Linked DNA regions of Tribolium castaneum. Each later gene encodes a partner of the first gene's protein in a complex. Links are inferred from orthologs where the notes say so. Each region holds a gene or a part of one and is shown in the gene's direction. Other genes may lie near its edges.

Evidence for each region. Proteins that work in one complex are often made in the same cells at the same time.
Region 2: the proteins of frtz (region 1) and fy are in contact, whole or in part, in a cryo-EM structure (PDB 7Q3D), measured with the Homo sapiens proteins. The link is inferred for Tribolium castaneum from reciprocal best matches to the Homo sapiens genes WDPCP and FUZ. Residues at the interface, in NP_056994.3 of Homo sapiens: Arg55, Ile57, Asn75, Lys78, Leu82, Glu418, Asp419, Arg420, Leu421; in NP_079405.2 of Homo sapiens: His293, Glu372, Glu373, Pro374, Arg379, Gln397, Pro399, Thr400, His401, Gly402, Ser405, Leu406.

Annotation. Positions count from the first base shown.
Region 1 is NC_087402.1:1,546,940-1,551,057, reverse strand, and holds frtz (WD repeat-containing and planar cell polarity effector protein fritz), read left to right. Parts: upstream 1-1,307; 5' UTR 1,308-1,494; coding exon 1,495-1,577; intron 1,578-1,629; coding exon 1,630-1,765; intron 1,766-1,812; coding exon 1,813-3,723; 3' UTR 3,724-3,923; downstream 3,924-4,118. UniProt on the Homo sapiens protein: Probable effector of the planar cell polarity signaling pathway which regulates the septin cytoskeleton in both ciliogenesis and collective cell movements.
Region 2 is NC_087402.1:7,504,293-7,508,019, forward strand, and holds fy (protein fuzzy homolog), read left to right. Parts: upstream 1-1,290; 5' UTR 1,291-1,470; coding exon 1,471-1,548; intron 1,549-1,799; coding exon 1,800-1,921; intron 1,922-1,967; coding exon 1,968-2,115; intron 2,116-2,163; coding exon 2,164-2,289; intron 2,290-2,338; coding exon 2,339-2,536; intron 2,537-2,588; coding exon 2,589-3,158; 3' UTR 3,159-3,182; downstream 3,183-3,727. Other genes in the region: Pgant2 (polypeptide N-acetylgalactosaminyltransferase 2), read right to left, coding at 926-1,015; rod outer segment membrane protein 1-like, read right to left, coding at 3,184-3,357, 3,409-3,628. UniProt on the Homo sapiens protein: Probable planar cell polarity effector involved in cilium biogenesis. May regulate protein and membrane transport to the cilium.

The DNA of each region.
Region 1 (4,118 bases):
CGTCAGGTTGATCACCAAATATTAATTTATTCTAGGAGTAATTTCCGCAAGATTTTATCGCTGATTGAAATTTTATCTAAATGAATTAATTTTATCACTGTTACCAAAGTAGGCTAACTAATCATTAAGTGGGGAAGTAATTTATATGTATATTGATTTTAGCTAATTCTGTTGTTTTATTTATTTATTTCCATATTTAAGCTGTTGATTTGTCTTAGATGCTCCACCGCGCTGAAATTCGCTGTATTTATCCTGAGTTGGGGCATTTTGGTGTTTGATATCTGGTCATTTCATTGAAAAGCAATAAACGTGTATCAGTGATAGGGAATAAGAAAAAATCATCTAGAATTTTCCTATTGCTACAAGTTGAGTTTATAATCATTGAAAGTAGGGTAGAGTAAATATATTTTTTCTATTTCCCGTGATACATACTGCTCTTCCTATTGTACATAAAGATCCGAAACAATCATAAATGTTTCAAAATGTGTGTGCGTTTCAAAGCTATTTTCCTATTACTCTTATCATTCAATTTCTCCAACTTTTCAAAAAGAGTTTTATTGTATTTTTGGCCGTCTTCCGAAATTGAATGAATAAGTGCGATACTTGATTTTGTTAGTTTAGAATGTGAGAATTCTAAATATCTTATAGCAATACCAGTTTTGCCTGATCTAGTAAATAATACTCTATGCTTTGCCAATATTCTTGGCTTTGGTATGTATTTTTAAGGTTCTATGTGCCAAATCGTTTTGTACTTTTATTGCAGTAATCACTACTGGCAATATTTTTTGGCGCCTGTCTTCCAATTTTATAAAATAGGTCTTCTGACATACTTTCCATATTTACATTTTTAGTAGGTTAGACTTTCGTTCAAATGTGTTCCATTAACAAACTATTAGTGTGCTTTTGACTTTTTCCTTATTTTCAAACGAACTTAACACTTGTTTGCGCATATTTTATTTTATTATTGTTATGACCATTTATTTGTACCTTTAGTTTATTCAAATAAATAAAACGGCTGATTTTAACCCGTCTTTTTTACCCCAAAATCCCTCATAGGAGGTCTTTTCGGTTCTCTCCCCAAATTAGCGATATTCACAATAAATTTCGTTAATTTAACACCAATAATTTGAGGTTACCTGTCACTTTGACAGATTATAAATTAGTGCGTTAGCCAGGTGTGCTAACATAAAATGCAACGAAGTTTAATTGAATTTTTAAAATTTATGTTGCGTTTTCACGGTATGTTTCTTTGATAATCATAAGTAAAATTTAAATTACAATAGGGCCAAGCACACTTAATAATAAATAAATGTAGACTGAAACCACTTTGCTACTCTGATGTGATAAATCAAAATTCCCTGATTTGGGGAATTTACACATCGGTATTATTATTATTGTTCGAATTTTTTAATTTATGAATTAATGAAGTGATGAGACTCAAAAAGAAGCATTTATTTTGCAAAAGTGACTATTTAATCAAAAATCGGCCGTAAAATGTTGACCCTTTTGAGCGAAATCCATTTCTGGAGCACCCAAGAAGACGTCATCGTAAAACATCCAGATTTTGGATCATTCAAGTACCCAAACCCCTCACAACCCCATAAAGCGAACTAAAAACCCTTATTCCAGATACTACTCTAAGAAAGATCCCAGCGACTCCCTCTGCTACCAAAGCAAAAAAAAGTACTGCGACCAACGAGGTGTCATCTGGCACTTGCCCAACAAACGTCCCCAAAAACTCCGCGACCGTCTCAAAGAACTCGAGGTTAGCTCACACACTCACCCTTTCACTCTCACTCATTCTTTCAATAGGAGTATCTCCTCCACAACAAAATCGTCTGTTTCTCTTGGTCCGACAACCACCTCCAACTCCTGCTCTCAACTGGGGTGGTCGTCACCCTCACCATCGACATCACCACAGGCGACCTCACAAGCCTCACTTTCGACAAATCCCTCGCCACCAAACTCCAAGTCAACATATTATGCGACGGTGTTATCCTCGGCCCCCAAATCATCTGCATTTGTAATGACGGCCACGTGCTCGGCTTCGGGGGCTCCTGGAAAGACGGCTGGATTGTCGAAGGGGGCCCTCGACGCCACCTGAACTTCCACAACGACTGGCTTGCCGTTTGGGGCAAATGCGAGGCCGAACACCCGCAGCCTTGGAGCCCCCTTGGCAAGGACTACCAACGGGCTAATCTACACCTGTACTGGGTGGGCGTCCGGGGGCCTGAACTCTTAGCGTACAAAAAAACCGACGGGGATCCCATTGAAGTGATCGTCAGTCGGACAATACGCCGAACTTTGTTCGTAATCGAACAGAAGGTGACTCTCAGGGGGGCTGTCTCAGTCGAGTTGAGCAATTTTGAGCTGGTTGGGGCCAATTTGAAACGGGTTTCGGTCATTTCGGTCCCACTTCAGACACAAGTCAGTTGCTGTGCCTTAAATGAGCAGGAAACTAGGCTCCTGATTGGTTGTATTGATGGGTCTTTGGCGTTATTGGACCGTGTCAGGGGGTCAACTCGGACGGTTAAAGGGTTGTTTATACCAAAGTTCGCACGTTGGAATTCTCTGGGAGCTGTTGTGACCGTTTTGAATGAAAGGGGGCAATTGCAGTATTTTGACACGGCTTTGAACGGCGTTAAGTCACAAATAATGGGGGAGGATTGCACCCCAACAGCTTTAATTGACTTATCCGGTTATTTCAATTCGCAATTTACGATCAGTTCGGTGAGTTGGGGCCCAAAAGACTTAGTCGTGGTTTTGGAGCAAGGCCCCATGTTACTCATCACTCACATTGACCGGTCTTTATCGTTCAAATCTCTCTCACAACGTTACATAAAAATGGGTAAAATTGATAAAGCCATTCGGCTTCTCCTAAGCTGGGAATTCAACGAGGAAAGTTTCCACGTGTTGCAAAAAATCGTCGCTTATTTACTCTCCCAGCCAATGACCGACGACACCGCCAAGTATCTCCAGGACGCCCTCGGGTGCTTCCACAGCCCCCCGGTGCCCCTGAACCCCGAGACCCGTTCCCGCTTCTTCACCCAAATTTTCTCGCTCACTCGTCGCTTTTTCCACCAGTTAGTCCGCGCCCAAATGTTCGAAACCGCCTTCCTCTTGGCTGTGGACCTAGGGCACCATGACCTCTTCATGGACTTGCACTACATCGCGGTGCAAATCGGCGAGACGGAGATGGCGGCTGCCGCCCGCGCCCAGGCCTCGGCCCTCCTGAGTCGCTGCTCCAGCGAGGCCTCGAACTGCACCAGGTCCTCGTGCTCCCAATGTTCGGGAAGTAGTGACGAAAACCCCGATAATTACCTCACAACTAACTTCAATAACCCCCAACCGAAGACCTACCCGAGAGCCACTTTCGTGAAGGCGCCGCAAGTGCCGGCGAATTTTAAAGCGCCCCCGTTGCCCAATTTGGGGATTCCCAGAAATGTGTTTAAGCCGCCGCTGCCCTCAACGGGGGCGGTTAAGAAGGTGCCCCCGAAAGTTAAGTTTTCTGATACGGTGACGGCGTTTATCGTGCCGGAGATTAAGCGGCCAGCGAGGCCGCCGCCGCCACCACATTTCACCGATCCGCAGAAAGAGTTGGCTGATAGTTTGCCGCTTTGTCACCCAAATGAGGATTATTTGAAGGATTTTAACCCTGTGAGGAGGAGGGAGAGCGAGGAAGCGCAACCCAAAATCAAAGTGGTGCATTTTGGGGTTGTTTAATTCTTTTAGAATAATTGAAGACAGTTTCCGTCCGTTAGAAGTACAAATAAATTACCCAAGGAGCCCCAGATTGTATTAAAATATATTTAACATGTTTTATCTGTGGAGGAACGAAATTTGATATGTATATTTAATTAATGAGTAGATTTTTTATTTTTTATAACTTCGTATTTTCGCAAATAAATATTTTTATTACAACATTATTGCATTTGTTTTCAACACAACAGAAGGACGAACCACTAGATTACGTGTGTGAACGCCTGTTTAACACTCATTTTATTTGAAAAATGAGACACTTTTTTACTAATTATTACTGAATACGTAAGGGCAGACATAAACGACGTCAGTGCTATTTTTGTTGTAGAAATGAAAATAGGCACAAAAATGAACTTCTC
Region 2 (3,727 bases), about 6.0 Mb from region 1:
CGTTGATGCAACTTTAATTAGCTACTAACTGTCCGAAATCAATTTGGAACTGCGTTTGTTCCTCGTCGTAAATGCTTTATTTCTGTAAATACTGTTAACTTGAATCTTTCGTCTCTTTGCAACTTAATTAACAAAATAAATCTAATTTTAATAGAAGTTCGGAAACCGAAAAAAGTTTCAACTGTAAGCAAAGAGAGTTCACGCTCCAAAAACTTCATTAAATTTTGCATAAAAGTATAATAAATCGTTCACACTAAACGTGGTTGAATAAGTTTCGTCTTAATTGTACGATATCTTTTTTGGCTGCATTTACTCGCTTCACTGAATCGAATTGTAAGATTCGGTCACACCATCTGCTACAACGATTCCCTTCAATCGAAATAATGGAAAGATTCTGTCTTTATTAAAACTGCGGCACTGATAACGATTCTTCATTCGCTTAATAGAGTCAATGTCGCGATGAAACCAATCCAATGCGCTAATAATAAATCTCTCACTTTCAGTTTCATCTTGTTCCAAAAAATTTAGATGGTAATGCCAAGGCTGCACATACTCGTCTCTTTTAAAGTTCACTATTATTACAATTCAACAGTTGTCGCCTCAGTTGCGTGGGCGTCTTAAAATCAATTATACCATCATTAGCAAAAAACTGAGCGTGCAATAATTTCGCAACAAAGTCGTTAGAAGATCGTGAAAGTGTCGCAACACCACTTTTTCACGGCTGAAAATTAGAACTCTCGTAATACAGTCGTCGGAGGGTTCGATAGGGCAAGTTGCGGTTTTTCTGACTCAGCAAGTCCCAAACAATGAAAAAGCGCTCCCCTCGCAGGCGGAATTCTCCCTTCGCCGCCACCAAAATTGCATCGTGCCGACGTTCAGGTTAAGTGAAAACGTGCTTTCGTAAACATATATTTGAAAAATTCACCTTCGAGTCTCCGGTGGTTTGCAAATAGTAAATAATAACAAACATCCATGCCATGGAGAAGAGCAGCAAAACCTTGACGTTCCTCCTCATGGTGTCGGCTTCTCGGTCACAGTGCACTCAGAGTGTCTTTGAGGACCATCAACACCTCCTCGCGTTACATCTACATCCGTTGCCGCCGCAATACTAAAATCGCGGCGACGTTCGACATCGTGTTTTTGCAGCTTCTCCTCGTGCTAGTGAGACTTTCAACCGCTCTCTTTTACTTTCACGCGGGACCGACAAGGACGGTCGATGCCAGCCCCGTCCTCGACGAGTCCGCACGGCGACGCTCTTCGTCTCCTGTTCAATAACCAGAGATTTGTCATGGTGGCCCACAGAGGGCGTCGACTCGCTTCAATCAAAACGCTCCACAGCGAAATTTACGGCCAATAATCGGCCAATTTCAGTGTTTTAAGCGCCTTTCAGGCCCGCAATCGCTGGGTCACCCGGATTTCCGGTGATGTATCAATGTTTACTTGTACAATATTTGCCCTAACCCATGAAAAATGTCGGCACATGTTGTTTGTGTCACCTCGGGGGGTGGTCTGCCCATATTTTCCAGGAAGAAAGGGAATACGGACAGTGTAAATATTCTTAGGTTATGTTGACACCTAACAACTATCTGCTTTCACACCGAATGCCTGATAGTCTTACAACAAATTAAGCTTAAAATATACTTATACTAACAATGACTGAATAAAAAGTACAAAACTAGCTTTTTACAATGTCTTATGTCTTGCCCTATCTAAGCACTTAACTTAACCCTTTCACTACCGATAATGCAGATTAGCAATTTCGGGGATGTCCAAAATTTATTGGCGCCATTTTGCCTTAGCTGCCCTTTTCAACCATTGGGTCCCTAAATGGGGTCCACATGTTTGGCAAATCGCAAAAAATCACCCTTCAAAATACGGTAACTGAAGACTACTCTTTAGCCTGGAAGGAGTACCACGACAGGTACTAATCACAACTACATTTTCTTTGTTTCAAATGGTACTTTCAGCTTGGTTTTGATAGGGATATCAAGTGGATGCACCATCGAGGTGCTCACCAAGACCCTCGACTCGATTTTCAACGCAATCGTGTTAATTGTCGGAATCGAGGAAATCAAGTCGCAGCGAAATATCGAACGGTTTAAGAGAGAATTGCGGGTAAAAACCGCCAACAAAAAGTTAGTTTGTCGTAAAATTTTGTTCCAGATTTGCTACCCTTTGATCGATCGCCTGCTGGATTCTTTAGACTGTGGCGATTCTGGCAGCAGACACTCGTCGGATTTAATCGGACTGGTGGAAACGATTTTATGTCCCGAAAACCACTTGATTCAGGTTTTTGCCGCTCGTTTAATCTACTCGGTAAACAGGAAAGTAATTCCAGATCGTTCTTGACTCGTTTACCGAATGCGTCGATTCCTTATTTAGCTGCGTCCTTATTCATGGCAAAATTGCGGCTGCGACCAACAGCTGGTGGTCGCTGCACCCAGAAGAGATCAAGCTTTTGGCCATTCTGGCCCAGAGCGAGAACACGTCGAGTTCGAAAGACATCCCCGTTTTCCTGCCATACAAAAGCCCAACCGTACGTGGGGTGATTTATTCGTTTCGGAAATAATGGGGGAATTTAATTTCAGGTGGCTTTTCGTTTCGTTTGCTGTACTTTAATTCCGGACATCCAGCTGTGTTGTCTCTGCGGCCCCACTCCCGTGCTCTCGGAGGTGGAATTTTCCGCGACTAATTGTTTCAAGAATTCCGCAGATATTTTAAGTTCCGCCATACAATGCCACCCGCGCAACTTCCACTCGACTTGTCACATCGACGGCGGGATTTTGGGTTTACTGTTGGTGAACACGACTTACGGCAAATACATGATTACGAGAAATCCGCATCAGAATAGTAATAAAAAGAACGCGAGCAGCTCGCATCGCTTGGATATTTTACGAACGTTTTTCTATCAATCGGTTTTAACGTTCCTTGTGCCGAGCGAGGACTCGAATGAAGATGCGGAAATTTCCAATAAAAGTGAAGCGAATGTGGGGCTTGAAACCTACTGGTGCTCGGAGTATCATAAATGCTTCGCAATGAAAATCAGGGATAATATTCTAGCGGTTTTATTCAACTCGTCGATTCCGACGTTCGCAATGCGACTGATTACGGAGAAAACTCTCAAGAATTTGATCTCAGATAAACAAATTTGTTGGTGATGGTTTAATATATTTTTTGCAATATCTAGTCTCTCAATTCCTGGGGTACGGGTGGCGGCGTTGGGGGTGGTTTATTGTTCTTAACTCTGCCAGTGTAACTCCCGAACAACCAAACGGTGTAAGAACGAGCTCGTCCCTGAAACCTACGGCTCTCAAAATGAGCCGTCTGTATTAACCTGAACAAAATTAGAGTCACAACCTGAAAAAAATTATAATAAAACAAGTTTGATTTTGACGGAGTCCTACATACCTCAAGGATAATATAGAGAATTAAATTACCCACAATAATCCATCCAACTGTTTGTTTTTTTTCGCGGATCATTTCGTAACATCCTCTCGTCGAAATGCTCAAATTAAATTCAGGAGTGTACAAATATGCTTTTCCTGTGACTTCGATATTGTGGTGGATACAGGGAGAAAGTGATTTCATAGAACAACAACTAAACGGTGTGTTACCATCAGCAGCAGAACTTAAAAACCAATTTACTAATTAACGATGTTTTTATAATTGTCGCTTTCTACGCTAGATTAGGATACGGGTGATAAATAAGTTTTAAACAAAGTACTGC